4 linked regions of the Oryzias latipes genome follow. The protein of the gene in region 1 purifies or fractionates together with the protein of each later gene. This does not show direct contact. Links are inferred from orthologs where the notes say so. Each region holds a gene or a part of one and is shown in the gene's direction. Other genes may lie near its edges.

Evidence for each region.
Region 2: the proteins of epidermal growth factor receptor substrate 15-like 1 (region 1) and itsn1 purify together in Homo sapiens (affinity purification with mass spectrometry; 4 studies listed by BioGRID and IntAct, with this or other methods). This does not show direct contact. The link is inferred for Oryzias latipes from reciprocal best matches to the Homo sapiens genes EPS15L1 and ITSN1.
Region 3: the proteins of epidermal growth factor receptor substrate 15-like 1 (region 1) and intersectin-2 purify together in Homo sapiens (affinity purification with mass spectrometry; 5 studies listed by BioGRID and IntAct, with this or other methods). This does not show direct contact. The link is inferred for Oryzias latipes from reciprocal best matches to the Homo sapiens genes EPS15L1 and ITSN2.
Region 4: the proteins of epidermal growth factor receptor substrate 15-like 1 (region 1) and ap2s1 purify together in Homo sapiens (affinity purification with mass spectrometry; 4 studies listed by BioGRID and IntAct, counting the BioPlex papers as one, with this or other methods). This does not show direct contact. The link is inferred for Oryzias latipes from reciprocal best matches to the Homo sapiens genes EPS15L1 and AP2S1.

What each region holds. Positions count from the first base shown.
Region 1 is NC_019862.2:5,470,223-5,477,529, forward strand, and holds part of epidermal growth factor receptor substrate 15-like 1, read left to right. Parts: intron 1-1,324; coding exon 1,325-1,522; intron 1,523-2,331; coding exon 2,332-2,511; intron 2,512-2,589; coding exon 2,590-2,689; intron 2,690-2,860; coding exon 2,861-2,911; intron 2,912-3,850; coding exon 3,851-3,987; intron 3,988-4,149; coding exon 4,150-4,213; intron 4,214-7,071; coding exon 7,072-7,211; intron 7,212-7,307.
Region 2 is NC_019873.2:638,466-645,772, forward strand, and holds part of itsn1 (intersectin-1), read left to right. Parts: intron 1-4,815; coding exon 4,816-4,898; intron 4,899-4,971; coding exon 4,972-5,055; intron 5,056-7,307. UniProt on the Homo sapiens protein: Adapter protein that provides a link between the endocytic membrane traffic and the actin assembly machinery. Acts as a guanine nucleotide exchange factor (GEF) for CDC42, and thereby stimulates actin nucleation mediated by WASL and the ARP2/3 complex.
Region 3 is NC_019882.2:14,805,864-14,813,170, forward strand, and holds the end of intersectin-2, read left to right. Parts: intron 1-94; coding exon 95-216; intron 217-298; coding exon 299-405; intron 406-1,011; coding exon 1,012-1,195; intron 1,196-1,280; coding exon 1,281-1,379; intron 1,380-1,475; coding exon 1,476-1,643; intron 1,644-1,731; coding exon 1,732-1,944; intron 1,945-3,644; coding exon 3,645-3,766; intron 3,767-3,847; coding exon 3,848-3,930; intron 3,931-4,251; coding exon 4,252-4,335; intron 4,336-4,424; coding exon 4,425-4,598; intron 4,599-4,787; coding exon 4,788-4,939; 3' UTR 4,940-5,540; downstream 5,541-7,307.
Region 4 is NC_019871.2:14,619,948-14,627,866, reverse strand, and holds ap2s1 (AP-2 complex subunit sigma), read left to right. Parts: upstream 1-3,413; 5' UTR 3,414-3,565; coding exon 3,566-3,568; intron 3,569-4,011; coding exon 4,012-4,161; intron 4,162-4,828; coding exon 4,829-4,942; intron 4,943-5,810; coding exon 5,811-5,870; intron 5,871-6,422; coding exon 6,423-6,524; 3' UTR 6,525-7,581; downstream 7,582-7,919. UniProt on the Homo sapiens protein: Component of the adaptor protein complex 2 (AP-2). Adaptor protein complexes function in protein transport via transport vesicles in different membrane traffic pathways.

The sequences.
Region 1 (7,307 bases):
ACCAATAAATGCATTTTGTAAGTAATTTTTTCTGCCTTAGTTTTTTGTACAGAAAAATTACCGAAAATAGATGGATGTATAGATAAAAAATATATTAATCTCCCAAGGGAGAAATTCAGGTGTAGGGCAGCAAAAACACACACAAACACACACAATAAATAACAATAAAAGGTTCATATCAGAAAGATTGGTGATTGGCAGTACCAAACCGAAATGTACCGAACCGATCCCTGTGAAATTCTGAACCGAACCGAATTGAGATTTTAGCGCATCGTTACACCCCTAGTGCAATCACACAATCAACCAATAAATCTCTTATAAATATATAATAAAATCATGAAATTGTGAAAAATCTGCACACAGATTTTAAATTAGCCATAATATTATTAAATATATTTCATTTTTGCTTTAAAAACCTGTTCATTATTTTAAAACAGCATTTTAAAAGATTCATTTTTTATCATGTTGAATATTATAACTGTTTTTTTTTTTTACAGAAACTTTGATTTCAAAATCAATATTTTCCAAAGTAGCTTTGTTTTTATTTCACACTGCTGTCTTTCAGAATGACTTTTTTATTTCATGATGAGCTTTTTCAGCAGAATGAGTCTGTCTGTCAATCATTGAAAGTGGGTGGGATCTAAACGCTCATTGGCTAATCCCTAGAAATCGACTCGTATTCCTAGAGTCCCGCTCTGTGGCGTGCTACAAAGAAGATCTATTTCAGCGACATCCGCACGGCTTTGCTGACATTAGCTGATCAAATGGAGACAGTCTGTCGGCAGACGCTGTTTTGAGTCGTTTTTGAAATGCTCAGCTTGATCATTGCTGCAGAAGATGCAGACATTGACAACTCAGTTTTTGCCAGTTTGAGAGCAATTGAGCACCGGGTCCGTGTGGATCACTGGGAAAAAACAAAACAGCTGTTGGTATTCCTACACCCGTTATTTTATATATAAAAGGGGGGGGGGGGTGGACGTGTGTGCTTGCTTGCACAATGTTTTTCCATTAAAATTAGTGGTAAAGAGTTCTAAGCTGTTTTTGCTCTAAAAATAAACGCTTTTATTTTTTAAAGAAAATGTGTCTTAGCCCTTGGAATCTGGAAACACATGGAGTTTTCAGATTGTTTTTCCTTATCCTCCCCACAAAGAAGACAGCTCAGCTGTCTCAGCTAATGGGTCTGATTGGTCTGAGAACCTAAAGGTAGAAGAGGTTTTCTGCAAAAAGAGGTTCAGACGTGAGCTGGGCTCACGTCTGAACTTCTGTTTAGTCAGGACAGCAGTTCTGTGTGGACACCACCCTCACACCTATCTGTGTCCTGCAGATCTCCACCCTGCAGAGCCAGATCCACTGCCAGGAGTCAGACCTGCTGTCCCAGGAGGAGGAGCTGAGCCGGGCCAAGACCGACCTGAACCGCCTGCAGCAAGAGGAGAACCAGCTGGAGCAGAGCTTGGCTGCCGGGAAGATCCAGCTAGAAACCATCATCAAGTCCCTCAAGGCCACCCAGGACGAGATCAACCAGGTCAGACGCAGGTTTAGAGAGTGTGCTGTCAGCAGGAAGCGCTACTGCACATCAGAGACTACCTGTTTCCTGCCTAAAGCAATGTTAACACCGGGCTCGAAATGCACATTCGAGTGACTGCTTCCAATGAAAAGTCTCTGTAAAAATGCCCACATGCGCATTTTGGGCTCCCATGTTCAAATCTCACATTTAGGCGTAGCTACGCAAGTTTCTGTGACTGTTTTTGGGCTCTACGTACAAAACATATCGCCACAAGTGTTGAAAATTAAACATGGTTGAACTTTGATCAATTGGTAGTCATTGGATTTGGTATTGACGGAAGGATTACATCCTTTTCAATACATGGAAGTGTCAACCATTAGAAATTTGATCAATGAGGAGAAATTAATACGGTAATTGCGGTTTGTGCCCTGCCGGAATTCTATGACACCAAGTCTTTCATGTGTCAGAAGAGAGCTGTGAAGGAAAAATCCTGGAGCAAGATTCATGGAATTTGCACCGCTTCAACATTTTACACCAATTCTCTTCCAACTGCGATTACATGTGCTAGCATCAGGCAGCGACAAACCTGTGTGAACCCCAAATCCTAAAAGCACACTCAAAAAACCATCGTTCTGTGTGTTCTCGACATGCCCGCTGTGTCTGTAGCGTAACTGCCCTGATGAGGTTTTGATGGTGCTGAGCACTCGTCCCACTCCTGCTAGATCAAGTCTGCGTGAGTTGAAGGGCATGGGGATTGAAAAGAAGGTTTCTTCTCTTGGTCCCCCGCTGCAGTGAAAGTGAAATAAATGCTGAGGTGTGTCCTGCAGGCCCGCAGCAAACTGGCCCAGATCCAGGACAGCCAGCAGGAGGTGACGAGGAGCATCGAGCAGTACAGCAGCAGCCTGAACGGGGCGCATGGAGGCAGCATGACCAACCTGGCCGACATGAGCGAGGCCTTCAGCGACAGGGATAGCGGGGGCTTCCCAGCCATCGGGAGGCTGCCACAGGTCAGGGGGCTAGGCCGGAGTTCTGATCCAGAATAAAGAGTGGAAGCAGGTCACTGATGGTCCACTTCTGTTCTGCAGGAGGATCCATTCAAAGGGAAGCCTGCATTCAGCAGCCAGACTCAGGAGCTTCCAGACCCCTTCCACTCTGAGGACCCCTTCAAAACAGATCCCTTCAAAGGTCACCCACCCCCTCGCACGTCTTGCTGTTGCTGTCCTGTGGGCTTTTTTTGTTCCCTCCTCTCACCTGCCTGTTGCCGCTCTGCGCTCTGCAACTTTTCTCCCCCATAGCTTTGATCTTCTCTCTGCTACCTATTTGTTGACTGCCCCCCTCCCCATTCCTCTCTTTTAGGGGACCCATTTCAAAATGATCCTTTTGCAAAGCAGCCGTCCTCATCTGCAGGTATTTCCCTGAAGCCAACGCGCTGTGTGAGGTTCAAATCTGATGCCTGTCAGTCCTGCAGCACAGTTGAGCCTGATTTCCACTGGTCCGCCTGCGGTGCGTCTCTGTTGCGTTATGTTAACACACAAAATAGATCGTTTATTCGTTAATTGCAATGTTTACATCACCTCCGCCATGTCTGCGTCTGGTGTCCGTCCCTCCTCAATGCAAGCTTTATGGAGGAGTGCTACTTCCAGGCCGCTGATGTGTCGATTTTGCAGCAAATAGCCGGAGAAACAGAAAACCGGTTCGGGTTTCAGAATAAAATCTTCCATTGTACTTTCAAAATAAAACTATCAAATTTGATTTTGTCTTGAAGGTGCCCACACAGTAACACACGTTAACAGATGTGGATAACACACCATCATCCGGTTTCGCCTTGGGTGACAAGTTTAATTCTGGAAGTACAGAAACACAACCTCATTTCTGACACAAAATATGCATTTTACAAGGACTCAGTGAGGACAGCCACAGGTGATGAGAGCGGGACGAACCACTCAATACAGGGGTGACAGGACAAACCACTCCTCCAAAAGCCAGGGGGAGAGGATGGACGGACCGGAGACGCAATGGAGACGATGTAAACTAACAGTCTTGATAGTCGTCAGCACTGATTTCCCACGCAACGCAAAGGAGACCCGCCAGAAACAGAGCAGTGGAAATGAGGCGTTAATCATCTGATGTATGAGGAGGCTCACCTGGTGAGGGTGGTGAACTCACATTGAAGGTTCATCTGCTTTGTAACCCAGTAGTTCATCCTCACTCTGTCCAGAAGTTTAGGACATTTTTATGTAACTACAGCAGGAGGAGGTCCTCCTGTGAGCAGGCTGACAACATCAACCTCTGACAGACCCGAGCTGAGAGCAGAACCCTCTGTAACCAAAGCTGCTCTTGCTGCAGATCCATTTGGAGGAGACCCGTTTAAAGATCCCGATCCCTTCAAGGCGTCATCTGAAGACTTCTTCAAAAAAACCACAAAGGTGGACCCTTTCTCCACACCTGACCCCTTCAGCAAAAGTGCCACCTTACCCTCCAAGGTACGTGTAGGAAACTGACTGGACTGGTTCTGAAAAAGAGCTTGCAGAGTTTTTTCGGACTCGGGCAGAGTTCTCGTGACTCTTGGCAGACGAGCACAGGTGGGCCTGCATGACCCCCCACTAAATGTGACACTGACCACCATTTGTTTGTGTTCCCTGCAGCAAACCACTCAGCTCGCAGCCGCCGACCCGTTTTCTTCCGGCCACCAGAGGTCCAGAGGGCCTGGTAGGTTCTGTTCATCAACCACACTTTTATTTTACCTAATAAGTATGTATATAAAAATAAAGCAGCATTTATCAGGTTTGTGGAAATATATTATAAATTGAAACTATCTCAATTCCTTCCTTAAGAAAACAACCTAGAAAAACCTTTGAGGGCATGAAAACAGTGGCATATTTTGGGGGTTTGCCCCACCCTGCAGGCTGACCTACAGACAAACCACAAAAGATGCCCCACTGTGGATTTTTGATCTAACTCTGCAAACAGTTGAAATGTCAGAGAACCTCAGGGTTCATCACGCCCTAACTTTAAATTTGATAAATAACGTGGAGAAGATTATCGGCCCTCTGGCAGTGTAAATTCTAATTCGGTAAACACAACGTTCCCTCACTGTGTCGCCGTTCACCTTTCGCTGTTTCTCAGATTTAGCATGCTTTTTTTGTACAACATATTGTGTTCTTCATCCGGATTGGCTGTTGACCTTGTCAATCATCTCTGTGCCGTCTCTCCTGGGCAGAATGCAGTTTTCCACATTTACATCTATTCCCATCAGATCTTTGCTTTTTTTATTCCGTGACACTGGACAGATTTTTCCATGAAGGTTTGAACTTTGAGAGTTTAAACAAGTGTTTGGTGTGTTTGACAAAAGTGCATAACTTTTTTTAGTGAGGAGTTTTGCAGCCTTAAAACATCTGGAATCCTACTTTGCGGATTTCAACCATTGTGGGGTTTTTTAGAACGTAACCCCCTCAATAACTCGGGGAACACTGTACACCCAAACTGTGAGTTGAGGCTTAAGCCTAATCTTTAGATGTGTTATGATGAATGCGTAAAAATGGTGGATGAAGAGTGATGTTCCTGCACATTATGGAGAAAAGATCCCAAATGTTTGCTGTACTCAGCTTTAAAATTGTTAAGATTCCCTGGCATAGCAAAGAACTTAACAAAGTCAAGGACCTATATGCCAATAATATCTTCCCAACCTTTGTTAATCTTTCAGCCAGGTATAGGTTGCCTAACTCACATTTTTTCCGTTTCCTGTAGGCATGAGATTTTGTGAAGAAACAATTCCCTCATTACCCTAACACCCCCCCCCCCCCGAAACTTTTTTAGATACCTTACTGGAGGTGGAACCACAGCAGATTTTTTGTATTCCAGTTCTAACTGGAGGGAATGATACAATAGTCTGTAGTTCAATTTTTCCTTCATGAAAACCACCTGGGAGGAGGAATTACAGGTGACTTTATCTGAACAACAATGGGACACAGCCTTAAAGTTAATACATTCGTCCTCTACCTGTGCCCGACATGCCTTGATCCAGTGCAAAGTATTTGACATTACACAAATGCAAAACTATCCAGAATTTACACGTCCGTCTCTGATAAGTTCAACCGTTGTGGACACTCGCCAGCCAACCATTCCTATATGTTTTGGGCCTGTTCCAAAGTAAGAATTTTCTGGACACATGTTTTTAAAACGCTCAGCCCGGCATATGGAATAGCGCTGCAGCCTAATCCAGTGTCCGCTATCTTTGGTTTTGCGGTTGATTTGAATCTCTCTGGACCTTGTACACGTGCTCTGGCATTCACTACCTTGATGGCCAGACGATTGATTCTGCTTAGGTGGAAGCTCTCTGACCCCCCCCCCCCCCCCCCCTCACATGACTATTGGGTGAAGGAGGTGCTATATAAACTGAAACTTGAAAAGCTGAGGTTCTCACTCAAAGGATCTCTAAGTAAGTTTAAAGAGACATGGCATCTGTTTTTATTACTGACAGATACACTAACATTACTCCCAGAGGCAGAAACTGACTGACCCCCCCCCGCACACAATTTTTATCATTGCCCTTTTTTTTTCTCTCAGTGTCTAATCATCATTTTGTTTTGTTCTCCGTTCAGATGTAAGCATCTCAATTCAATATTCATACAAATAACCCCCCCCTTTTTTTCTTATTCTTTTCTCTTTTTTTGTGTGTGTCTGTGTGTGCTTGTATATGTGTAGGGAGATATTATGTCCTGTGTGTATGTGTGCATGTGTGTGAAAGATTGTGTATACGCATGACCTGGATATGGGAATGTTCTGTGTCCGGGATGGGAGGGATATGGGGAAACACAGAGCTGTATTGTCACTTACCTTTTGAAAATATGCTCTGTTTGTTGATGTGTTTTAAAAACTCAGTAAAAAAAGTTGGAATAAAAATGTTAAGATTCCTGAAAATCTGCCCAGAAGAGCTTTGTCTCCATCCCAACCAAGACCTCCAGCAAACATGAACAGCATAGAAAATGCACAAGACAGACACACACCCCGCTGGGGCTGTGACACCTGCTCCCACAGGTGTGCACACACCTTTCCTGGACCCGAAAACTGTGTGGCTGTTCTGTGTGAGCAAAACAGGACAGAAAACATCAGCTCCTTGGATCCATCAATCCCAAATAAATAGAGAGTATAAAACCTTTTAGATTGTGACAACTAATCTTAAAACATGGTGACAAACGTGTCTATCCAGCCCGTAATCCTGAGTGTTTGCTAAAAATGTGGCGCTAGAGAATTCAGGGGCTGCTTGTAAAAAGGCAGATTTAAAATTGACTGTGATCTGATTTCTTATGGATTTAATTGAACAAATGAAACATGTCACCATAAAATAAAAAAAGACTGTGTTTTCAGACCATTGTTGCTGACAGAAAGAGTAAACAGCACCACCTACTGTAATTTATCACCATAAGCAGCCACGGTTAGTAAGAGTAATTCTGAGTGGAGACAAAACCAGAATCCACCTCCAGTCAGTTCAGTACAGAAGACGGCTGTGCTGTCACCTGTGCCATGTGACCTTCAGTTCTTCAGTTCTGACCTTCTTCTGTCTTCAGACGTGTTCCAAACACTGGATCCATTCGGGAGCGGCTCTTTCAGCACCAACAGCTCCACTGGGTTTGCAGACTTCAGCCACATGTCCAAGCCAAGGGACCCCTTTGAAGGACGAGCCGGCTGGTTACCAGACTACCAGAAGGTGTGCTCACAAACACGTGCACTCATGCATACGGAGTCAACTTTATTGGTCGAGAACCGTGCATAATACAAGGAATTTGGCTTCTATATGCAAGCT
Region 2 (7,307 bases), on another chromosome or scaffold:
TCCATCAGTTTGTGGTCTACCACTTGGTGGCTGAGTTGCTGTTGTTCCCAAACTCTTCCATGTTGTTCTGATAGAGCTGACAGTTGACTGTAGATTTAGGAGAGAGGACATTTCACCACTGGATCTGTGGTACAGGTGGCGTCCAATGACACGCGTCCAATGTCTGTGAAAACAGTCTGGATGACTGAGTGATGATTTGATACACCTGTGGCCAGAACAAGAGATCAGGACACCTGATACTGATCATTTGGATGGGTGAGAGTAGACTCTTGGTAATATAGTGTAAATGGCAATTACTCAGTCATTAGGTTCGTCAGAATAACCATTTTTGCTCTACAAACTTTTATTAACATCTTCTTGCTAACCCTTTTTTTCCTCATGATATTTTAACTGTTACTCAAGTTAGAAACTGACCAATCAGATGCCTCTATAAATGAAGGTGGCCTTGCGTTGAATATTCGAAGCATTTGATTAAAAAATTCTCCAGAGCCCACTTTCAGTGGAATGGGTGTGGCCTTCTAATATAATCACTCCTGACTAGAGAGAGTGGTTGCCATAGAAATTTAGACCAATCACAGCTTCACTGAGGACGTCTGGTTCCAACATAGCAACTGACATCGTGGATGGGGGGTCTAAGGGCAGGGATGCCAGTTCAGCTTAGTCTGTTTGTTAGTTCAATTTAGTATTTTCCACTTGAATTCATGTATTCATGATCCTTTTGAGTTTATGTTGAACCTTTTCAATTACCTATACGAAGCCCATCGAGACGACTGTTGTTGTGAATTTGGGCTATACAAATAAAATTGAATTGAATTGAATTGAAAAATGGCAACTGAATTGACTTAAGTTGGTAGGAGCCAGAAGCAAGGCATTTTCTAAGGGTGATGTCACACGTGGGTTGTCCAGTTATGCAGTCAGTGGGTGTAACATTTTGAACCAGCTGAAGTTTGAAGGTATAAAAACACCTACTTCGCTTGCTTTGGTTAAAACAAACCTCGGCCTATTTCCAATGGTGTGTGAACGAACAGTCATGCAAACTCTGCTCCAAACAAGTGCACCAAGACCCTTCTGAAGCATGGAGAACTGAACTGGGCGATAGAAAATGACTTGCTTCCAATGAAATGAAGAGGATAGAGTAAAACTTTATCGATTCTACAAAGGGGAAATTACCTAAGTCAGTTCACTCACCATTTTTTCAATACGGACATCACCATGTCGGAAACTATTATCATCAGTAAGCAGTGATTAGTCTGAGTCGGTCTAAGTCATTTCTATGGAAACCACTCTGTCCAACCCGAAGTAAGATTGTTGGAAGTCCACATCCCTACCATGTGAAAGCATGCTGGGGAGATTCTGTCAAACACATTGACTGTTCAACATGAGACCAGATATATTTACTGAGGCATCTGATTGGTCAGTTTATAAATTGAATAACTAGTGATGGTTAGGAAAAATCCTGAAAAAAATGATGATTAGGAAGAGCATGTTAAGGAATCTTTAATGACTGAGTAATAGCTTTTTATGTCTCTATAGGAGTCTATGGGATTTCAGCTTTTTGAGACCAGCAGGTACTTGATCAAACCCAACTTCAAATACAGTGGAACAAAACCGTTACCAAGTGTGAAAATAATCCCCCTGAAAAAGATGAGTAAGGTCTGTAATGTTCATCAAAGGCACATGACAGCCATTAGAGACAAAACAAGGGGGTATGTGGTACTAGAAATCACATTGTCTTTTTTTTAAATGGAATAACTAGTAAATTCATCTGGGCAAGATGTATTTGGTCTAATACAAACAAGCAAGATTTCTAGCTCTCACAGACCAGTAACTTCTTTAAAATGTTCCTCTCTCCTCCACTCTTCACACTCCAAACTCCACTATGGCCAAGATTTGTCAAAGCACACCAGATTCAAAATTGTAGAGCTGCACCAGGCTGGGAAGAATCTGCAGCTGTAATAGAAGATCACGGATAATCTCCCTCCTTCTGGGGCTCAACGCAAGACTGCACCCCACAGGGTCAAAATTATAACAAAAATTGGAGTGTAAAAATCCCCAAACCACATAGGGGGACTATGAGTAAAACACCACAACAACAGGCAATCCAATTCCAGACATGTCCCCTTCAAGCCAGCACACGTCCGGGCCTGTCTGGGGTTTGCTAGAGAGCATCTGGATGATCCAGAGGGGGTTGGAAGACTGTGATATGGTCAGATGAAAATAGAACTTTTTGGTAAAAACTCAACTTGTCGTGTTTGGAGGAGAGACAAATGGAGAGTTCGAAGAACACCATACCTACTGTAAAGCGTGGGGGTAGAACCATCGTGCTTTGGAGCTGTTTTACTGCAAAGGGACCAGAACGACTGATCAGTGTAAAGGAAAGAATGAATGGAGGCCATGCATGGTGAGATTTTGAGTGAAAACCTCCTTCCATCAAACAAAGGCATCAAAGAACAGACAAGACTGGATCATCCAGCATGACGGTGATCCCAAACATCTCCCAGGCAACAAAAGGGTGGATTAGAAGCATTTTAAAGTCCTACAGTGGCCTAGCCAGTCTCCAGATTTCAATCCCATTGAAAAGCTGTGGAGGGAATTGAAAATAGTGTTGCCCAGCAACAGCTTTAGAGTAGAAATGCATGAAGGAATGGGCTAAAATACCAGCAAACATGCAGGGCCCATCTTTTTAACTCTTGTGCTGCCTTGTGGGGTCAAAATGACCCCACCCTTACACTGACGTGTTATCCCTACCATGACAAAGGTGGATAAAGGTGAAGAGGATTTCATGCCCAGATGACCCCACTCCCAACGTTAAAGTGCCTTGGATAGCACAAGGGTTATGAGGGAAAAATTACACAATTTGTGGCGGACTGAAAACTTTTTTAACCACTTTATCTGCCTTTTTGAGATCAACAAGTTTCTGTAGGTGAGCATCAAGGTACTAAGCCGTGTTGGAAGTCCGGCCAAAGCCATGAGCCATGGAGGAATCTGCAACAATTAGAAGCTGCAACTCTTCTTTGGTTTTTGGGCAGGCACCATTGACTGCATCAGGGAACTGGACGGAGCTGGTGTGACCCATGGAAAACATCCAGCCTCCAGCTTCAGCGAAATTAAGTCGCCATTTTTCCACTTCTGCTCCTAAGCAGAAGTCATCCTCTCCACATACTCCTGTGCCAGCAGAGCATCAGGGTTTGGTTGCTGCCTCATCCGGTGATCTCAGGCAATTATTTGTTACTTTGGCCAATGGTCCCCAAAAATACATACACCAACTTAGATTATTTCCATTTAGTTTATTTTTTCCTGATTCTGTTCACCAAATCCGTCTGTCTTGACGCGTCACGTGACTTTTAGCAGCTGCTCGGACTGCCAAGTTAGTAGCCCAAAGCTAAAAAGCTAATGAAACCAAACAAAAAAATGTATTTGGAAAGTTTCTTTGGGTAGAAAAGAGCCGGTGTGGAAACCAAAGAAAACCTTCAAATTTAAAGAAAAATAACTCTGCTGTTTACAGACAAAACCAGAGTCTTCCCCGACATACGGATTTATTCAGACAATTGCCGCCTATAATGTGGCGACTGGTTCTTGAATGTTTCACACTCGCAGATAATAACATTACATTCATGGTTATTATTATATTCAGAAAATATCAGTTTTACTAGGATTGTTCCTTTTATACCGCTTTATTTTAAGTCCATCTCACCTTAAAAGTCGGTCGAAGCTGAAGTTAGCGTCTGGTTGCTAGCATTCACTTTGACGTTAAAGGAAGAATATTCATTACAAAGTCTAAGTTTAAATCAGCCGCAAACATTTGACAGAGAATGAAGATTCAATAAATAAAGTTTCTGATTTGTGGAAGTTGTTTTATAATTGTGTGACAGACATTTATGAATTCTCCAACAGCTAGGGTGAATTAGGCAGCCATCTGTTAAGAAACTTTAAGACAGAAAGAATTCCTCTGTGTTTAAAAAACCCACGGTTAATCAGGATTTATGTCAAAACAAAATAAGTTCAATCTTTTTGGCCTAAAAGATGATCTGACACTGGGTTGAGTTCTCAGTGTTCTAATGGTGTTCTATGAAAAAATTGTAATGCTGCTTTATTTTATGTTTTTCATTTAAATTTTTTGCAAATCACAAACAACTTTTACAAATTTTTGGTTTCGTTGAATTTTTGTCATTAGTGAACTAATCAACTGTTTTCAGATTTATTTTAAACTAAATTTCTTGTAGTTTCATTTTAATTTGATTTAATTTAATGGAAGCTTAAAACTATTAAAAGCATTCTTCGGGCCCGTTCGGATCGGTACGTGAAAATATTGTCTGACATTAAACTGATGTGAAAAAGGTTAGAGGTCACTGCCTCAGGCTGCTTGACGGATAAACGTATCCTTTGAGAATGTGGGAGGTTGAAAGGTCCAGCTCAGCAGGGACTGCAGTGAGTCTGAATTCTGCTGGTTGGTGCAAACCTGCACCTTAGGTTATTTTTGGTAAATGAAGTTAAACCTTGTTATTTTGCTCTATTTGCTGTTTTTAGGTATTTCTTATGTTTGATTTAGAAACGATGTGACTTCTACTCATTTCATTGTAAAGCTCTTTTAGCTGTGCAATGTATGAGCAGTGAAAAAACAATTGAAATGTGTTATTTTAAACCTGCATCTGCATGCCATCAAACATTATGATGACACAGAGGAACTACTGCTAAGTCCTCACAAAGAGATGGAAATAAAGAAATGAGTTTTCTTTCTGGCCTCTGTTTTTGTAGGGACTGATCATGATGACGAAACCCGCTGTGGAGGTTTACTGACTGTTTGTGTCCCTTTAGAACGGCCTGGGTTCAGAAGATCAAGGCAGCTTCAGAGCTCTTCATTGAGACAGAGAAGAAGAAGAGGGAGAAGGCGTATCTAGGTACAGTCCAGCTCACATGTACTTACTCAAATGCCTTTCATGAGCAAACTAACATATGTTTCTCCTGTTTTAGTGCGGTCTCAGAGAGCTACAGGAATTGGTAGACTGATGGTCAACATAGTGGAGGGGATCGAGCTCAAACCCTGCCGCTCTCATGGTACAAAAACTCTTGGTGTTCATACAATTAGAACTGTAAAAGAGTTTGGAGATTGTAACTTTGAATACTTTTATAAACAAATGTTTAATTTTGACACTTTTCTGCAGTAAATGATTGTATTTCAAATGGGATGTTCTTGCAACTCTTAGAAGAGGTGGACAGAGCAATGAAAAACAAACATAAAAATGTTCAGCTGGGAAACATCTAAGCTAATGAAGTAACATCAGGTGAACATAATTTGTCTTTGCGTTACGGGGCTGGGGTCTCACAGGGCAAAGGGGGCAAGTTGGACTTACTGCCAGTTATACAAACCAAGAACCTGCTCTGGTTGTACAAAGATCCGACGGCCCTCAGTAATGAGGCCAAGACCCTATTTCTCCAAAGCACTTTCCACACAACATCACAAGACCAAATGATTTTTTTAAATCCACAAAGTACATGTGGATTAGATTGATGAACCTCTCTAAACACTTAAGCCACATTCTCCTGATGTCAACACTAGATGCAGCCCGCCTCCACATTTGGCCCGGCCTGGTAAACAAAATCAGAAATGGGATTTTTTTCTTTTCTTCAATCTGGCACAGTGATCAAGACCCGCATAGGACACGACATTGTATTCCTTCCCTCTGCAGTCTGTGGCCCTTCTCTGAAACCCCCAGTCAAAAAGAACAGAATGTCTATGAAGACTCTCATTCATCCAGGAGGATTCCATCATAGTAGTAGGTTTAAAGGCTGTCATCTGGACTTAGTTTTTAAAGTTGAAGACGTTTCACCTCTTATCCAAAAGGCTTTGTCACTTCAAATTGACAAATTCCAGATGACAACCTTAAAACCTACTACTGTAACAGAGGACAGTCTGTCATTTCTACATGGCAGTTCACTTCCTGCAGTCTCTCTCATTCTTTTAGTGCGATTGTGCATGCTGCTTGATTTCAGGCTCTTCCGTGTTGTCTCCTGTGCAAATACATCCAGCTCTCCAGATAAATCTTTGATCACAATGAGATCTTTGTTTTCATTCTATTTATTACACTGGACTTCATTTTCTGTGAAGGTTTGAACTTTTAAAGGGTTTAAACAAGAGAGAGAAGTGTGAAAATTGTTATGCCTGTCTAGGAAAAGCTTAGAAATCTTTTCACATTTTTAAATGATCTGTAATCCTTCCATGAGTTATTTTTAGAACATAACTGGCATGACAAACGAAGGAAAAACTGTACTGGCGAAAAGATATTGCAGCTATATGCCCAGCTGCAGCAGACCCTCCTTTGTAATTTAGGCTAAACATTATTTATATGAATTACATAGAAATAATTGTTTTTTTATTGGACTGTTCAGAAAAGAAGAAGAGGAAAGAAGGGAGGGATGTTATGGACGGGGGAGGGGGGAGGGGGAGTTAAGGATAACAGGAGGATGATTACATGGTGGTGGTGGGGGGGGTGCTGGAGGATCATCATCATTACTGTCTGGTGTTAATGTTAGTCGGGGGGTGGGACCTGTCCACACACATATTTAAGGGTCAAAAAGACCTGTTGGCACCAAAAATACAATCTTGTAAACATGTACTCAACACAACTACAGTTCTTTGGGTAGAAGCATGTCATTCTTTCACACTAACTATTCATGCAAGGTGAGCTGACACCTGTGCTCAGGTGGGTGTTTGTGTTCTGCTGAGGTGGATGATGGAATCTAAAAAGATGTTAGAGTGCCCGGTCGTCCCCACACCAAGACCCCCCCTGAAGCGGTACCGGTAGCCAGGGGTCCAGACACAGATATGGTAAAGCAAATAGAGGGAATCCGCCCGCCAGGCAGTGCAGCCAGACACCGCCCCACGGCCCCCAACACCACAGAGTAGGGAGGAATAAGAGCACGGAGAGTGCAGAACCCAGCCCAGCCTAGAGGATAGCCCTCCGTTCCGCCACGGGACCCCACCCCGGAGAGGCAGAGACTAATCTCTAATGAACTCTGCCACTCTTCAGAAACTGTGACCCTAAAAAATGAAGGTTTTTTTTTTAAATGGCATAATCAGAGTAAAAAGACCACTAAGAAGGCTTAAAGTAGATTTAAAGATTATCTGACTTTGACTTTCATTTCTAGACTGAAGAGATGCTAGAGTGTGGTAACCATGGTAACCTTAGAGGCTAAGTCTGAAATTTTACACTTCCTTAGATGGAGCTAGCTTAATTAAGGGGAGCCTTTACTCTCTGTCTGCCTTTTACCTTATGGCAGCACATGAAGAAACACACCTCTGCAGTAGG
Region 3 (7,307 bases), on another chromosome or scaffold:
GGAGTGTTTTTTAGTGTAATTATTTAAAAACAGCAACTGTTTTGGTCATATTTGCCTTGCACACATGCTGCATGCCTACATGTGTGAACCACAGGGTGTGCAGACCTGATGACTCTGGACACCATGACCCCTCAAGAGAGGAAGCGGCAGGGTTACATTCATGAGCTCATTCAGACAGAGGAAACCTACGTGGAGGATCTGGAACTGGTTTTGGAGGTGCAAACCAATCGTTGCTTTTTGGTGATTCCCATTTTTCTGGCGCATGAAGCTCTGACGTGACCCGTTTCTGCACGCTCAGGTGTTCCACAAGCCCATGTCTGAGTCTGGGCGCTTGACGGAAGCAGAGATGGCCACCATCTTTGTTAACTGGAGGAAGCTTATTATGTGCAACCATAAATTTCTCAAGTAGGTCAAATATTTTCAAAATACCCTTTTGTTTTTTTTAACAATAACGGTCTAACTGGAAATAAGTTGCAGACATAGGTGCATTAAAGTACAACTTGATATCAATAAAAATGTATTTTTTCACTGTTGTTTTTATAGGTTTAAAATATAATTATCAGTAATGTTAAAAATTGACACTTAAATTTAATCTTTAAACTTTTTTCTGTGTTTAAGGTCTTTCACTTTTTGAATTTAAGTCTGAAATATTACACAAATAAATTTTTTATATTTACATTTAAACTAGTGGAAGGATTACAGGGGGGAGGCCATAATTTAATAAGTACAGCATTTCTATCAATTGATCTTTTTCTGCTAAAATATTGAAAATAAAGTGGTTGCACTTCATTATTGTTTCATATTTGCTGACCTCTGGTCTCAGAAAGTAAACATAAATTCAGGCAATTTAACAACTATCATTAAGTTCCCATCTTCCCTGCAAATTATTTTAGATCATTAAGCCCCATCGTCCCAAAAATCACAATTTTCCTATGCATTCAAGATAAATCAATACAAAGGGATTTATGTAATAAATTTTCCTGCTTGTGATTGCTTACTTTTGAACATCAGAGCCTTGCGGGCACGCAAAAAGACCGGAGGGGAGAACATGCCCATTCAGCTGATAGGAGACGTGCTGGCGTCGGAGCTCGCGCAGATGCATCCTTACATCTGCTTCTGCTCCGGCCAACTCAATGCTGCTGCACTGCTTCAAAGCAAAACCAACAACCAGCCTGACTTCAAAGACTTCCTACGAGTGAGAGTCGTATGGGCCAACTTCATCCTCACATAGAAATGTTTCTATGCAAAGTTATAAATCTAATTTTCTGTCCTCTGAGCAGAAGATAGCCACTAACTACCGCTGCAAAGGAATGCCACTGTCCAGCTTCCTCCTCAAGCCCATGCAACGAATCACTCGCTACCCTCTGCTGATAAAAAATGTAAGCAAAACAGGTCAGATATCTCATCGTTATTTAGAATGCCTTTCTATTCATTGGGCTGCGTCTCTTTGCCAACTGCCTTTAAATTTGGGTCAGATCTTGGAGAACACCCCAGAAAGCCACGCAGACCACGGACCCCTGCGGGAAGCTCTGGAGCGGGCTGAGGAGCTGTGCTTTCAGGTGAACGAGGGGGTCAGAGAGAAGGAGAACTCGGACCGACTGGAGTGGATGCAGAGCCACATCCAGTGTGAAGGGCCTATTGAGGTAGACCAACCCTGAGATGTCAGATGCAAATCAGCTATTTCAGCTTAAACCTCAGTCGAGTAATATTTTGTCAAAATCTTTCTTCCAGAATTTGGTCTTTAACTCTTTAACTAACTGCCTGGGGCCACGCAAGCTGCTCCACAGCGGTCGACTTTACAAAACAAAAGGCACCCGAGAGCTTTGGGCTTTCCTCTTCAACGACTTCCTCCTCCTCACCCACAGTACCAAACATTTCTCTTTCTCGGGATCGGACAAATTGTTCAGCCCCAAAACCAGTGCTCAGCTCAAGATGTACAAAACGGTATGGTCACAGACATACAGTGGGGAAAATAAGTATTGAACACGTCAACATTTCTCTCAAAAAACATATTTCTAATCGAGCTATTGAGACGAAATTTTAACCAGATGTCGGCATCAACCCAAGTAATGCACACATTGAAAGAAATCCAAACATTTATGTCCATAAATGAAGTTATGTGTAATAAAGTGAAATGGCACAGGGAATAAGTATTGAACACATGAAGAAAAGGAGGGGTAAAAAGGTCTGGCAAGCCAAGAAAGCAGCTGGAGTTTGTCCGTATTCAAAAGGTCAACCTGCCCCATATTAGTGCAAAGTAATATCAGCTGGTATAGTCCTGATTGATGCCTTTTAAAAAGGTTTCTCACCAGCAAGGTGTTGGACAAGAAGCATTGCATGATGGGTAAAAGCAAAGAGCTGTCCAAATACCTACGCAACCTTATTGTTGCAAAACACACTGAAGGCATTGGTTACAGGCGCATTTCTAAACTTCTGAAAGTTCCAGTGAGTACCATTGGGGCCATCATCCGGAAGTGGAAAGAACACGGCATTACCATAAACCTGCCACGGCCAGGTGCTCCTCGCAAGATTTCAGACAGAAGAGTCAGAACAATCATCAGAAGGGTTCTCCAACAGCCCAGGACCACTCGTGGAGAGCTTCAGAAAGACCTGGAATCAGCAGGTACCGTTGTTTCAAAGAAAACAATAAGTAATGCACTCAACCGCCATGGCCTCCATGCACGCACACCACGCAAGACTCCATTTTTGAAGAAGAAGCATGTTGAAGCTCGTTTGGAGTTTGCGACACAACATTTGGATAAACCCATGACATTCTGGAAGAAGATACTCTGGTCAGATGAGACCAAAATTGAACTCTTCGGATGTCATAAGACACATGTTTGGAGGAAAAATGGCACCGCACATCACCCCCAAAACACCATACCAACAGTCAAGTTTGGAGGTGGGAGCATCATGGCGTGGGGCTGTTTTTCAGCATGTGATACTGGTCGACTTCATATCATTGAAGGAATAATGACTGGAGAAAAGTATCGAGACATTCTTGATCAGAATCTGCTGTCATCTGCTGAAGATGAAAAGAGGGTGGATCTTTCAGCAAGACAACGATCCCAAGCACACAGCCAAGGTAACACTCAACTGGTTGAAGAAAAAGAAAATAAAGCTGCTAGAGTGGCCCAGTCAATCACCAGACTTGAATCCAATTGAAAATCTTTGGAAAGAACTGAAGATCCGGGTTCACAGAAGAGACCCCCGGAACCTTGAAGATTTGAAGGCAGTTTGTGTGGATGAATGGGCCAAAATCACACCTGAGCAATGTATTCGACTGGTTTCTCCATACAGGAGGCGTCTTGAGGCTGTAATCACCAACAAAGGTTTTTGCATTAAGTATTAAATAAATTTCAGTAAGCGTGTTCAATACTTATTCCCTGTGCCATTTCACTTTATTACACATAACTTCATTCATGCACATAAATGTTTGGATTTCTTTCTATGTGTGCATTACTTGGGTTGATGCCGACATCTGGTGAAAATTTCATGTCAATAGCTCGATTAGAAATATGTTTTTTGTTTGTTGATGTGTTCAATACTTATTTTCCCCGCTGTATATGCTCAGAGGGACTGAGAGAGTTCTTAGTGCAAAAGTTTCAGTATTTCTTTAAGAACGAGCTTTTTTTTCTCTTCAGCCATTGTTTCTGAACGAAGTTCTAGTGAAAATGCCTCCGGATCCATCCAGCGACGAGCCGGTCTTCCACGTCTCGCACATCGATCGCGTCTACACGCTCAAAACCGAAACTCTGAGTGAGAGGTATGCACACACGCACAGATGCACTATCCCCGGGTTGCTGCAACCTGTAAAAGGGGTTTTTCTTTTGATCTTTTTCTGCAGGGCAACGTGGGTGCAGAAAATAAAAGCAGCATCTGAACATTTTATAGAGACAGAAAAGAAAAAGAGAGAGAAAGCATACCAAGGTGAGCCCAAACTTTCCACAAATACTCAACTCCATTAGGAAGAAGGGGTAAAGTTGCAAAGTTTACCTGAAAAAACACTTTAAAGGGTTGCACATACTTTTTTTAATGGGAGTTTTATTTAGTTATTTTTTAAATGCCCTTTCTATTTCTAAACCTGCAATTTTTAAATATATTTGAAGTTGCTTGTAAAATACTGTGTTTTATAAAATGTCTTTTTTTTAATATAATTTGACTGAAAGAACATTTGAACACTCCCAAATATATTTAAATTTGGCATATTTTGAAGTTTTCAGTGGGTTTCAAACCTCTGTTTATCTGCAGCCCGCTCCCTGAAGACGAGTGGAATCGGTCGACTGCTGGTCACCATCATTGAAGCTCAGGAGCTCAAAGCTTGTAAACCAAATGGTGAGAAAACACACCTTTGTCTTTTTTAGATAATTAACTAATTTAGCTTTTTTTGGACAATAGCAAAAAAACATTCTTCTTTTCCTCAGGCAAGAGTAATCCCTACTGTGAGCTGACGATGGGGGCTCAGTGCTACACATCCCGTCCGGCCAGTGATACCCCGAACCCAAAGTGGAACTTCAGCTGCCAGTTTTTCATCAACGACCTCTACCAGGATGTCCTGTGTATCACTGTGTTTGAAAAAGATCAGTTCTCTCCAGACGGTTCGTGCCACACAAACACAGTATTTAATGCTTTATATATATATATATATATATTTATAAACAAAATCCAGGCATCAACACTGGTCCCAAAATGCTTTAATTAAGTTATTTAATATTTTTAAGCAGTTTTTATTCTGAGAATTTATTCATATTAGTATCACTGTGGAATTAAAAACCTTTCCTTTTCAGATTTTCTAGGTCGCACTGAGGTTCCCGTGGCAACCATAAAGAAAGACATGGAGACCAAAGGAGCAGCAAACCGCCGCCTGCTGCTGCACGAAGTCCCCACAGGAGAAGTGTGGGTCAAACTTGACCTGCAGCTTTACGAGCCAAGCAGATGAGCAACGTTGCTGTTCACACCAATCTTAGTTCAAAACAATGGCAGTCCAACATCTATAAGCACATCAGTCACTGTTTCAGACGCAGGGAATCGTCAGATGAACTCAAAAAACTACATTTCAGACCTTAAAGCATGGTGGCGTTAGCATCATGTTGTCTTTTTAACACTGTTGGACCTTTTGATGACATTTTAGGCTTTAGTACATCAGAGTACCTAAAGATTTTATGTTGCTTGTTTATGCAAACTGCTATCACTGTGCAAATCTTTTATGAAATAAAAATGTAAGACGTGCCTATGCAATCTCTTGCACAATATGACATAAAAATTTTAGGGATTTTTGAATTCGAATTTTTTTTTTTTTTTTTTTTTTTTGGACCTCAGGCCAGATATTATGCTAAGAAGACTGCTAAAATGTTCCACTTCATCACTGGATTTCTTTTACTTTAAAGCTTGAGATGTGTGTGAAAAAGGAAGAGATGTAAAGATTTTGCTATACAGCTAATGAAGGAAAATGTGTCGGAATGTCTGTAAACTTTGCACATTGACTTTGTGGTGTAACCACAAGGTTTCATAACAAATAAAAAAATAATGAAATAAATTAACTTTGTTTCCTAAATAAATGCGAGTGTAATACCTGTATCTGACTGAGGGAGCTGGGACAGAACTAGTTCTGTTTGAGGCAATGCTCTGGTCAGGAACTGGATGTTTTTAATTGCTGTTTTAATGGCACATACTAAAAAAAAGATGCTTTTGTGTTTTCTGGTCTTAAACTTTCTTTTTTTAAACTTAAATAAGACAAACTGTGTCTGTTCTTTTGGGGGTCAATCGTCGGGGAGTCCTGAAACACGTCACTTAAGAATGGGAATAGAACTCATCCCCACAGGGAAACTGACAAGAGACTAACTTTTTTTTGGACAAATGTTAGATGCATAGTTTCATGTTTGTCATTAGTTACTGGAGCAAAAGAAAAATATACACACATGCATTTCAAAATGAATCAATAGCAACATTTTAAATGAAATAAAAATACCAGATTTAAAGAAAAGGCTGCAACTTTAATTCCAAACACTTAAATGGAAAAAAAAACAATACAACTTAAATTTGGTGCTTTTATTTCAACTGTTTCCATGCATTTTCATCTGTTCGCTAAATCTTAAGTCAGTATTAAGCTAATATGGAACCATGTGATAAACCATTGTGCATGATAAAGAAGTTAACCGCAACAGACAAAAATCAAAAGTCATGAACACAATATCCTCACACTGCCTGTTATTCCTTGGTGGTGAAGAAGACTGTAGTTACAGTAATATAAAGAATATAATTAAATAAATGATATTATACTGCAAACTGTTTCTTAAAATCTACCATAAATTATGAAGGACTTGCTCCACAGGTAATAAAAATGTAACAAAAATAATTCTTCATATCAATCTAAAAATATACCAGAGATTTTGGGCCAGCTGTGGTGCAGAGGTAGAGCGGTCAACCTCTGATCAGAAGATTGCAGGTTCAGTACCATAGATAGACTCACTGTACAATAGAAGTCACCATGGAAAATGTTAACTTACCTTGGTGAAGAAAAAAAGCAAGCTTGATTCTAAATTATCTAAAATGCGGTGTGTGCACAACTTTGTTTTACAATACTGTTGTCATGGCAACGGAATAAAGGGAGGCATATTTGTTACAAATTCAACACAATCTTCAAACTCCCCCTAAAAATAATGAGTTTTATTGCTTTACCTTCCCGTCACAGTAAAAGAAATCTTTAAAATTTTGAATTTTAGCAAATAAAATAAAACAATTTTTTTCCCTACACAAATAAATAAAAAGAACCTGGTGACCTGCAGAGCCATCTGGTTGCTGCCTCCATGCTCTTAATGCTCCTGCAGGAGGCTGAAGAGCGCTATAGGCGTCTGCCTGGACACTTTGAGGAGAGAGAGAGAACATGATGTTTGGGTATTAACAGCAGGAAGGTGGGCGAGGCTTGTCCAGGTCATAACTTGACTTTTCACACCTTTCTTTCCTTTCGTTGGAGAGTCCAGGACGGAACGGGGGGGAGGCTACATGGATTGGTGGACTTGGTTGGCAGCATGCATTGCCCTGCTTTGGATTTTCTGCTTCATAGATGGTAAGATCAAATATTCATAATTTTTTTCCCCGCTTTATTATTCAGTGTTGAATTTATGCTCTTTAAAAACAGGCTTCTTCCTTAAAAAAACTAGGTTGATGATCATGAAAACAATATGTTGGGTAAAAGATTTAGAGAAAAAACAGAATTGCGTGCAAAATGATCTGAAGCCACATTTTTAACCATAAAATCAATTTTTTAATTGGGGAACAAATCCCAGTTGAAAACATCTACTAGGATC
Region 4 (7,919 bases), on another chromosome or scaffold:
AATTGTACATTTTATCCTTAAAAAATAAAAACAACTTGTGCACTTCATAAAATTTACAATATATAAAAAATACAGTGACACAAATGAATACTTTTCAAATCAGATCAACATAAAAACAAATAAGATTCAAATGTAACACATTTAACTTAAAATATTAAACAGTTATTATTGAATAACTCATAAATATAAAGTAAAGGCTCAACAACTCATACACCATGTTCAACAATAGTATCTGTCCAATGCAAGAGGCTCCCTGCTTGTGTTTAGACAGGAGGGAAAAAAACAATGCACATTTCAGGAGCCAACCTAGACAGTTTTAAAGCAAAATGTCAAATGAAATACTAGTAAAGATAAAGTCACAGTATGCTGCTTAACTGGAATAACCTCTAAAAGAGTAGGTTTTAACTTTGAACTCCTCACGTGGCTCTCATCTGAACTCTGAGGCTGTTGGAGGGTCGAGGGAGAGTTAAAAAAAACTTTTATTCACTTAAGTTTGGTGTCTACCTCTGAGGAGGTGTAAATGACCTTCTGGGTCTACAAAAGTCTGAAAAGTCCTTTGTTTCATCGTAAGGAAACAGAGAGGAAAACGAAAGCAGTCATAAATAAACGTAAATTATCTTCCAAGACACAAAGTGACCACACCAAGAAGCAAAGTGATAGCAATTGGAAACAGCGCGGCCACAAGAGAATGAAACACAAGCAGGGTTTGTAGCAGGAACAAAAACTCTGAGTACTAAACAGGGCCACAAATGTTAAAAAATAAACACAACCACGTTGGACATTGATTTGTCCAATCAGTCTAATCAAGAAGTAAAAAAACAGTCCCGTCAAAGGTAAAATCGCCCTTTTTGTACTACATTTGAACCGTACCGTAACGATAAACAACCAGTAAACCTGTCTGCTCTATGCTGCTTCATGGTCTTACCCCCCTTCCCCTCCTATTATCACCCTCCTACCCCCCTCTCTCTCTAACGTCCCTCTCTCTTCTTCCCCTCTTTCCTTTTCCGTCCGGTCCAACACCAAAGATTTTCAAACATGATTGAAATTAATAAAGTTTGGCCTCAATTACAAAAGGGGTTTATTCAGACATACCTTTGGTTTGTCTGAAGATGAATAACCCCTCTTGTTAAAATAAAATATGTCCAACACAAGAGGCCCTCAGCTCTCATCTGTTTGCCTAGCTGTTGGACAGGACAAGTTAAAAAAAAAAAAAAAAAAAGGTAAAATCGAATCATTTCAATTGGATTTGAAAAGTCATCTATTAGGAGAATCATTTGATGATGTTTGCATTGTGATTAGTTCAGCCACTGAATGATAATTAAGTTGTGTCTCTAAGGAGGACAGTATAACAACTAAGAATTGTCTGATTTGTTGTAAAGACAACAAGCTAAGAGCTCAAACAGATGTTTAATGTTTTGCAGCGGGACCTTGTTCGGAATGAATTCCCTGTGACTCTGCCCCTCCCTCAACGTCTTCCAACAGCCCAATCCAGACTTAAACATGTACGATGAGCACAAATGTTTCATTTGATGCAAAAATGCAGGCTGTTATTTGAAAGCGGAATGAAGTGGGCCTACTTTAAAAGCCAACTAAAATTTTCAATCCAAAAGGATTAATTAAAAATATTTTGGTTACTTTTTCAAATTGGTCATGTTGTGCAAAAACAAGGTCAGTGAATTTACCTCTCACCATTCTTTACATGACTGAGTTTGAAGAGAAACTATTCAACTTGTGACAACAAGAACATTAAAGCTGAAGTTTGCTTTTTAAATAACAGTAAAAGCTTAAACTTTATTTTAATTTTAACCACCCTGCAATGGAAAAAACAAGACAAATGTAAAATTTAATGACTGTTATCAGGGGGTGAGTTGCCTTGTTTTTTCATGGGATGGGAATTTGTAATAAAGTGAGTGTTTATACATATTTTGAGAGAGTTATGCCACCAAAAAAATACATGTTCAAGCTGGGTTAAAAGCTCACATTTGGTTTTCTGTCCAATCGTATCACTTAATGTTTTTAGCAATATTTGCATGACCCCACTGCAAAGAAAGATTAACATGGGTCAAAGTTTCTGTTGAACGATCTGCTTCTGTTTTCAAATCCATTTTCGGTTATTTCAACACAGACAAGGCACAGTATAAGCAATCTACTTGAACTAATAAATTACAATGCTATTTAAGATATTTTATTTTTTACAAAACATTAACAGAGTTCCGCTGTTTTTTTTACACATATACCAAAACATTGCTGAAAGAAATAACTAGAAGAAAAAGTTTTTACAAAGGATTTTTGGCTTTTTTCTTCTCTTTATTGTAGTTTATTTATAATAAACATGTTTTTTTTCCTATCTGACCTCAACCTCTTCAACATTTGCAGCTGAATTTTTGCTGGGTCCTTGGGGAAACACATTCCTTCTGCTGCAGTTGTGCAATATCTGATAATCCCAGTCTCCCCAAGCATTTAAATTAAATCAGGAAGTCCACATTTCTCCTTTGCAGTTATAAAAGAGGAAAATATGTTAAATTGCAAATACATAAAAAAGACCAGGGTTTTATTCCAAAGTTAACTCGTTATGAAACAATATTGAATACTATACAAATTAGACTTTTGTTATTTTCGTCTGTAGCCATGGCTGCTGTAGTGTCTGTGGCAGTTCTACCTTGACTTTCGCCCCCCTCTGCCTCCGCAAAAAAAAGGAAAAAGAAAATGTTTCCTTCCTTTCACCACACTTGTGTTCAGGAGAAATGAAATTGGAAGTGAAATTGGAAGAGTCTGGATTCACACCCTTTGGCATTTGGGATTTTGAAGACACCTGCTGTATGAAAGAGGAACTGTCTGGCTCATCCTTTTGACTACTAACAGGTATGGAGAGAGCTCCAAATATTTTAGAAGTCCCCATGATTTGCACCTAACATTGTATCATTCTATCCTACTTCTTCACCAGTTGTATCGCTTTCAGGGTCACAGGGCTGCTGGAGCCTATCCCAGCTACTGTTGGGTGAAGGCAAAGTACATCCTGGACAGGTTGTTAAAAAGGCCATAACAGAGATTGACATGTATAAAAAAAATGCTTTGCCCTTTTAATAAATATACACGGTTTTAAAACCTGGTTTTTTGTTTCTTTATTTTATTTTATTTATTTATTTGCAGCAAGAGCTCTTGGTCGATTGACCGCTATGTCCATGTCTAAAACCCGCCAATGTGTAAATATTTAACACAAAAAAGTGTGCATTGCTAAAGAAAGAAGGTGTTAAAAAAAACTGAAAAACTGATACATAAAAAAACCATTGCAAATCATGTGACTTGTTGAGAACTGGACAAGTTCTTAAAAAATGAACACTGGTGTTTGTAGTTTCCTGGTACATTCCAGGAGTTCTTATCCAACCGTTAAAAACACATTTCCCATGGTGCACCACAAATCAACGAAGCTTTCCTTTTTCCTGTTAGCTAGTGCAGATAACCGACGAGCTCTCGCCCGAATAACTGCTTTTTAATGTAAAACCACTAAATTGTTACTCAGGAACTCGATATTGTTGTCACCAAAGGTTCTGCTAAGGAGACGAATATGGTAACGTCGCCTTTTTTCCTCCATGTTTTGTTTTTTCCACCCATAGTCTTTCAACATTGAATTGCTAGCATTGGTGGGATTCGTACCGATATGCCGTTCAATGAGTCACTTGACAGCCTTTGCTAGACTTCAGAAAACAAAAAAACAAAACAAGGAATACAACCTATTTAGAAATTATTCATATTTTATGAATTCTATAGCAATTAAATTGTTCGCAGTTTTCTGTCGGGAGGCAAATGCTAATGTAACGCCGCTGTCAGATTAGCCAAGAACGTTAACTAACTAAGTCAGGGAGGGAGCCCTCGAAAATTTGTGGATGTTTTAATCTCTGGAATTGAATTAACTGCTACACTTTATTTGTGGCGTCTGCTACGCATTTCTCTTGATTTCTTGATTTAAAAATAGCTATGCCTTGCTTACTTATTTTCTTTTTAATCCCAAAGATCCGGTTCATTCTCATCCAGAACCGGGCAGGAAAAACCCGGTTGGCCAAATGGTACATGCAGTTTGATGATGATGAAAAGCAAAAGCTGATCGAGGAAGTACATGCTGTGGTTACAGTCAGAGATGCCAAACACACCAACTTCGTGGAGGTAAAGAAGTTTACTATTCATGTTGTCAGGCAGTGGTTCAGTGTTCGTTTAGCTCGATTTCTTTGATAAAACTAGTGTAGATGACTGTTTTTCAAAGAAGAAAATATAGCTTAAATTGTCAGCCTTCACCGATGCTTCAGTAGATTTGGTGCAAACACGTGCAAATTACTTAGAATTATGACTCAAGATGCTTCCATCATCAAGCTCAAAATTATTCAAACGCACAGCAAATACATTTTGTTGAATCAGCAAGTTTTTACCTGATATGAAACTAAAAGTGATTGAAAATACATCTCAAATTCTATTTGAGTTTGTATAATTGTAGTTTTGAGGAGCAGCTAACAGATTTTCTCTAATTATTCAAAAACCCCAGGGGGATTTTTTAACTCATTTTTTATTTTTTTCCCCTGTTTCTGTATAAGCAAATAAAGTTGTTTCTGCTGCTGCAAAAAAACATCCCGCTTCAAATCCTCCCATTTCTTTATTAAATATGGATATAAAGATGAATATATATGTTTGTACCACATTTATTTTTTTTATGATAAACATAAAATTATCATGGTGTGTTTTGCCTCAAAGTCTGGGAGCCTATACCCCAGTAAATCTGCTGTTGTCATAATATGAGAAACTCTATTATTAACAGGCTGATTCCACTTTGTTCCCACAGTTCAGGAACTTTAAGATCATTTACCGGCGTTATGCTGGGCTTTACTTCTGCATTTGTGTGGACGTGACTGATAACAACCTGGCATACCTTGAGGGAATTCACAACTTTGTGGAGGTGAGTACACATAATGTGCTCTGATCATTTTGTTATCCTGGTCAAATGTGTTTCGTGTGTCTGACCTTTTTTTTTCCCTTTTACTTATCATTTTCTAGGACTGGGTTTTGCCTAAAAACTGATGATGTATCATTCCTCCAACCAGTTTTATGTTATATTTCTGCCTAAAAACAATTTTGTAAGATTTTGATTAACACTTTCAGAAGGATAGGTTGTTCTAAAACTTTACAAATAAAAATAGCTGAAAAAATGTTTTGTTTTCCCTTGAAAAAAGTTGCTTCAAAAGAAAATCAGTTTATAGATTTGATGAATCAATATATTGAAAAAATGAAGTTTTGTTTTAACCCGACCATACCCCTTAAAAGTTTATCATGCAACATTTATCTTGAGATCATTTATATTAATTGTAAAATATTCATTAACAGATACCATTTCCATGGGGTAAAGTTATAGTTTACCCAAAGACATCATTTTAGATTTAATAAGACGATATCGTTTGGGATCTCCTTGTGACAACAATGTAATCTGTTTTGAATTTTAAAAACAAAAAGTGAGCAACATGTAGAAAAAAAATGAATTACGTGAATATCAGCAAATGGATAAATTATCCTCAAGTGAACTTCCAAACAAATAGATTTAATGGGCAATGATTTGATGGTAATTTATGTTATTAACAGTGTTGTGCTAATTCAGTTGCTTTGGAAAGCTTGAAGAAGGAGAACGGTCACTTCCATGAGTTTAACAGTCTGTAGTGACACTTCATTAGTCTGTGTGCTGTCCTCTCAACAAGCTGAGACCCAAAATGTTGCTCATGAGTCTTTCCCGATTCCTGAATGAAGCTTAGGATGTTTCCTTTGTGTTCTAAAAGGTCCTGAACGAGTATTTCCACAATGTGTGCGAGCTGGACCTGGTCTTCAACTTCTACAAGGTAAGAGCACTTGAAAATCATCATTTGTCCATTTGCTTTTGACTTATTTTACAAATGCCTCGTACAAGAAAGTATAAACAGAAGGACAAGTCAACAGAATTTCCTTTTTATCTGTTTAAAACTTGGATGAACTCCCCTGGATTGAAAATTCAGTTAAATGAACATTTCCAAACTTCCCTTGTTCCCCTGTTCAGAACATTCTGCTATGGTTAGTTAATTCACTTATTCTTCTGTTTTGTTCTTCCAAATTATTGCCAAGATACTAACAAGCTGTGAAGTGATACATTTATAACATTAAAATGTTCAAAGCATGAATTCTGGTCTGTATTCCTTTAATGGATCAATTATGTTGAACATTTTTTTGAACATTTGAATGTCAAAAATGTTGTTTTTAAGAAGCTGACAGATTGTTTTTCAGTTTGGAATGGAAGCATTTTTTAAGAGAAGCAATTTTGCTCAGTTTGTGACCTAATTTCCCGTGAACTCTTGGTTTTTCCTTTTTTTTTTCTTTCTCATTTCTGACCTTGTCTGTTATGTTTTTTCCCCTCCAAGGTGTACACAGTAGTGGACGAGATGTTCCTGGCAGGAGAGATCAGGGAGACCAGTCAGACCAAGGTCCTTAAGCAGCTTCTCATGCTTCAGTCACTTGAGTAAAAACAAAATCCTCTGTCCTTCTTGCCCACCGGACATCCAAAAAATATATATAAATACAAATACTTTGATGTGTAATGTCACTTCATATACAAATCCTCTAGTTTTTCAACATGCCAAGTGACAACAGGCATGTGGACGAGGACTACACAACATCCACTTTTAGATATCCAATCAGCCGTTTTTTTTTTTTTCCCTGCAGTTTTTTATCTAACCTTCTGAATCGTTTTAAAAGACGTCTTTCACTACATTTCAACGTGTCAGCATTTCAAGTTTCTTTGAGTTTTTTTTTTGCTTTTCTACAGCCAAAGGCTGCAGAAATGAGTTCTTCTCCACAGTTATCTTTTCATTTATGGCATTTGTCAGAAGCAACTGTGACGGCAGTCTTCTCATTCCCACATTAAACAAAGCAATTCTTTAGCGGCACTAGAATTTAGAAGCCCCATAAACTCAGGCCAGGCCCACCTTCCCTTTACCTTATCTCTGATTGAAGTAGCCTGTTTATCCAAAATAATGTCTTTAGGTGGCATTTATAGTTCTCTTGTGTTCATGTGTAATGCTTACATATGCAGATGTGTGTGACTGATGCCAGAGCTTGTAAGAGGGTGGTACAATGCAGGATTGTCAATCAAAACGGTGCTCTTTGGTCACTGTTAACATTTAAAACGATCCGGAACAAACAGGCGGGTTTTATGTGAAGCACTACTTTGGGTTTGCTTTGTGTGATCTGTGTAAACAGTGTTGTCTGTGAGTATTGTGAAATGATTGGTCACGAAGATTAATCTTCAAAAATATAAACTCATTTGAGATTAATACATTCCAACAGTGTCATATGTGCATTTAAAGTACTGTCCCTTTGGACTATCATTTCTGGTGAAATCCCATATTTTTACCTTTAGTTGCTTCACATGTTAGACTTTGGGTTTTTCATGAAGACAATATTGAACTATGTACCCACCTGGCATTTGATAGAGTGCTAATGGAAGATGTTACTGTCTTAAATTCAGCTGCCTACATCAGCAGTCCCATTTTGTGTAAATAAACAGATTTATCGTTCAGCTTTTCTGTTATTTCTTCAAAGAAAATGTGTACAGTGTTATAAAAAATACATTTAAATTCTGGCAGCACCATCTAGTGGCCAAACAGTAACATGAATGTGATGTCATCTCAAGCCAGTCTCGGGTCAATAAACCAGTCAATATATCTATTTCAGCTTCATTAAACCACTTAATCTTTCAACTTAAGAGCATTAAACTAATTAGAAAAACGACCTGTATTTATTTACTCATTACATAAGCCTTCTGATATCCTAACAAAGCTGGAAACCTTTTGAGGCAAGTGGCTCAAAGGAGGAGAAACCCTCTACAATCAAAATCTTTATTACTTAGACTTTTAAAA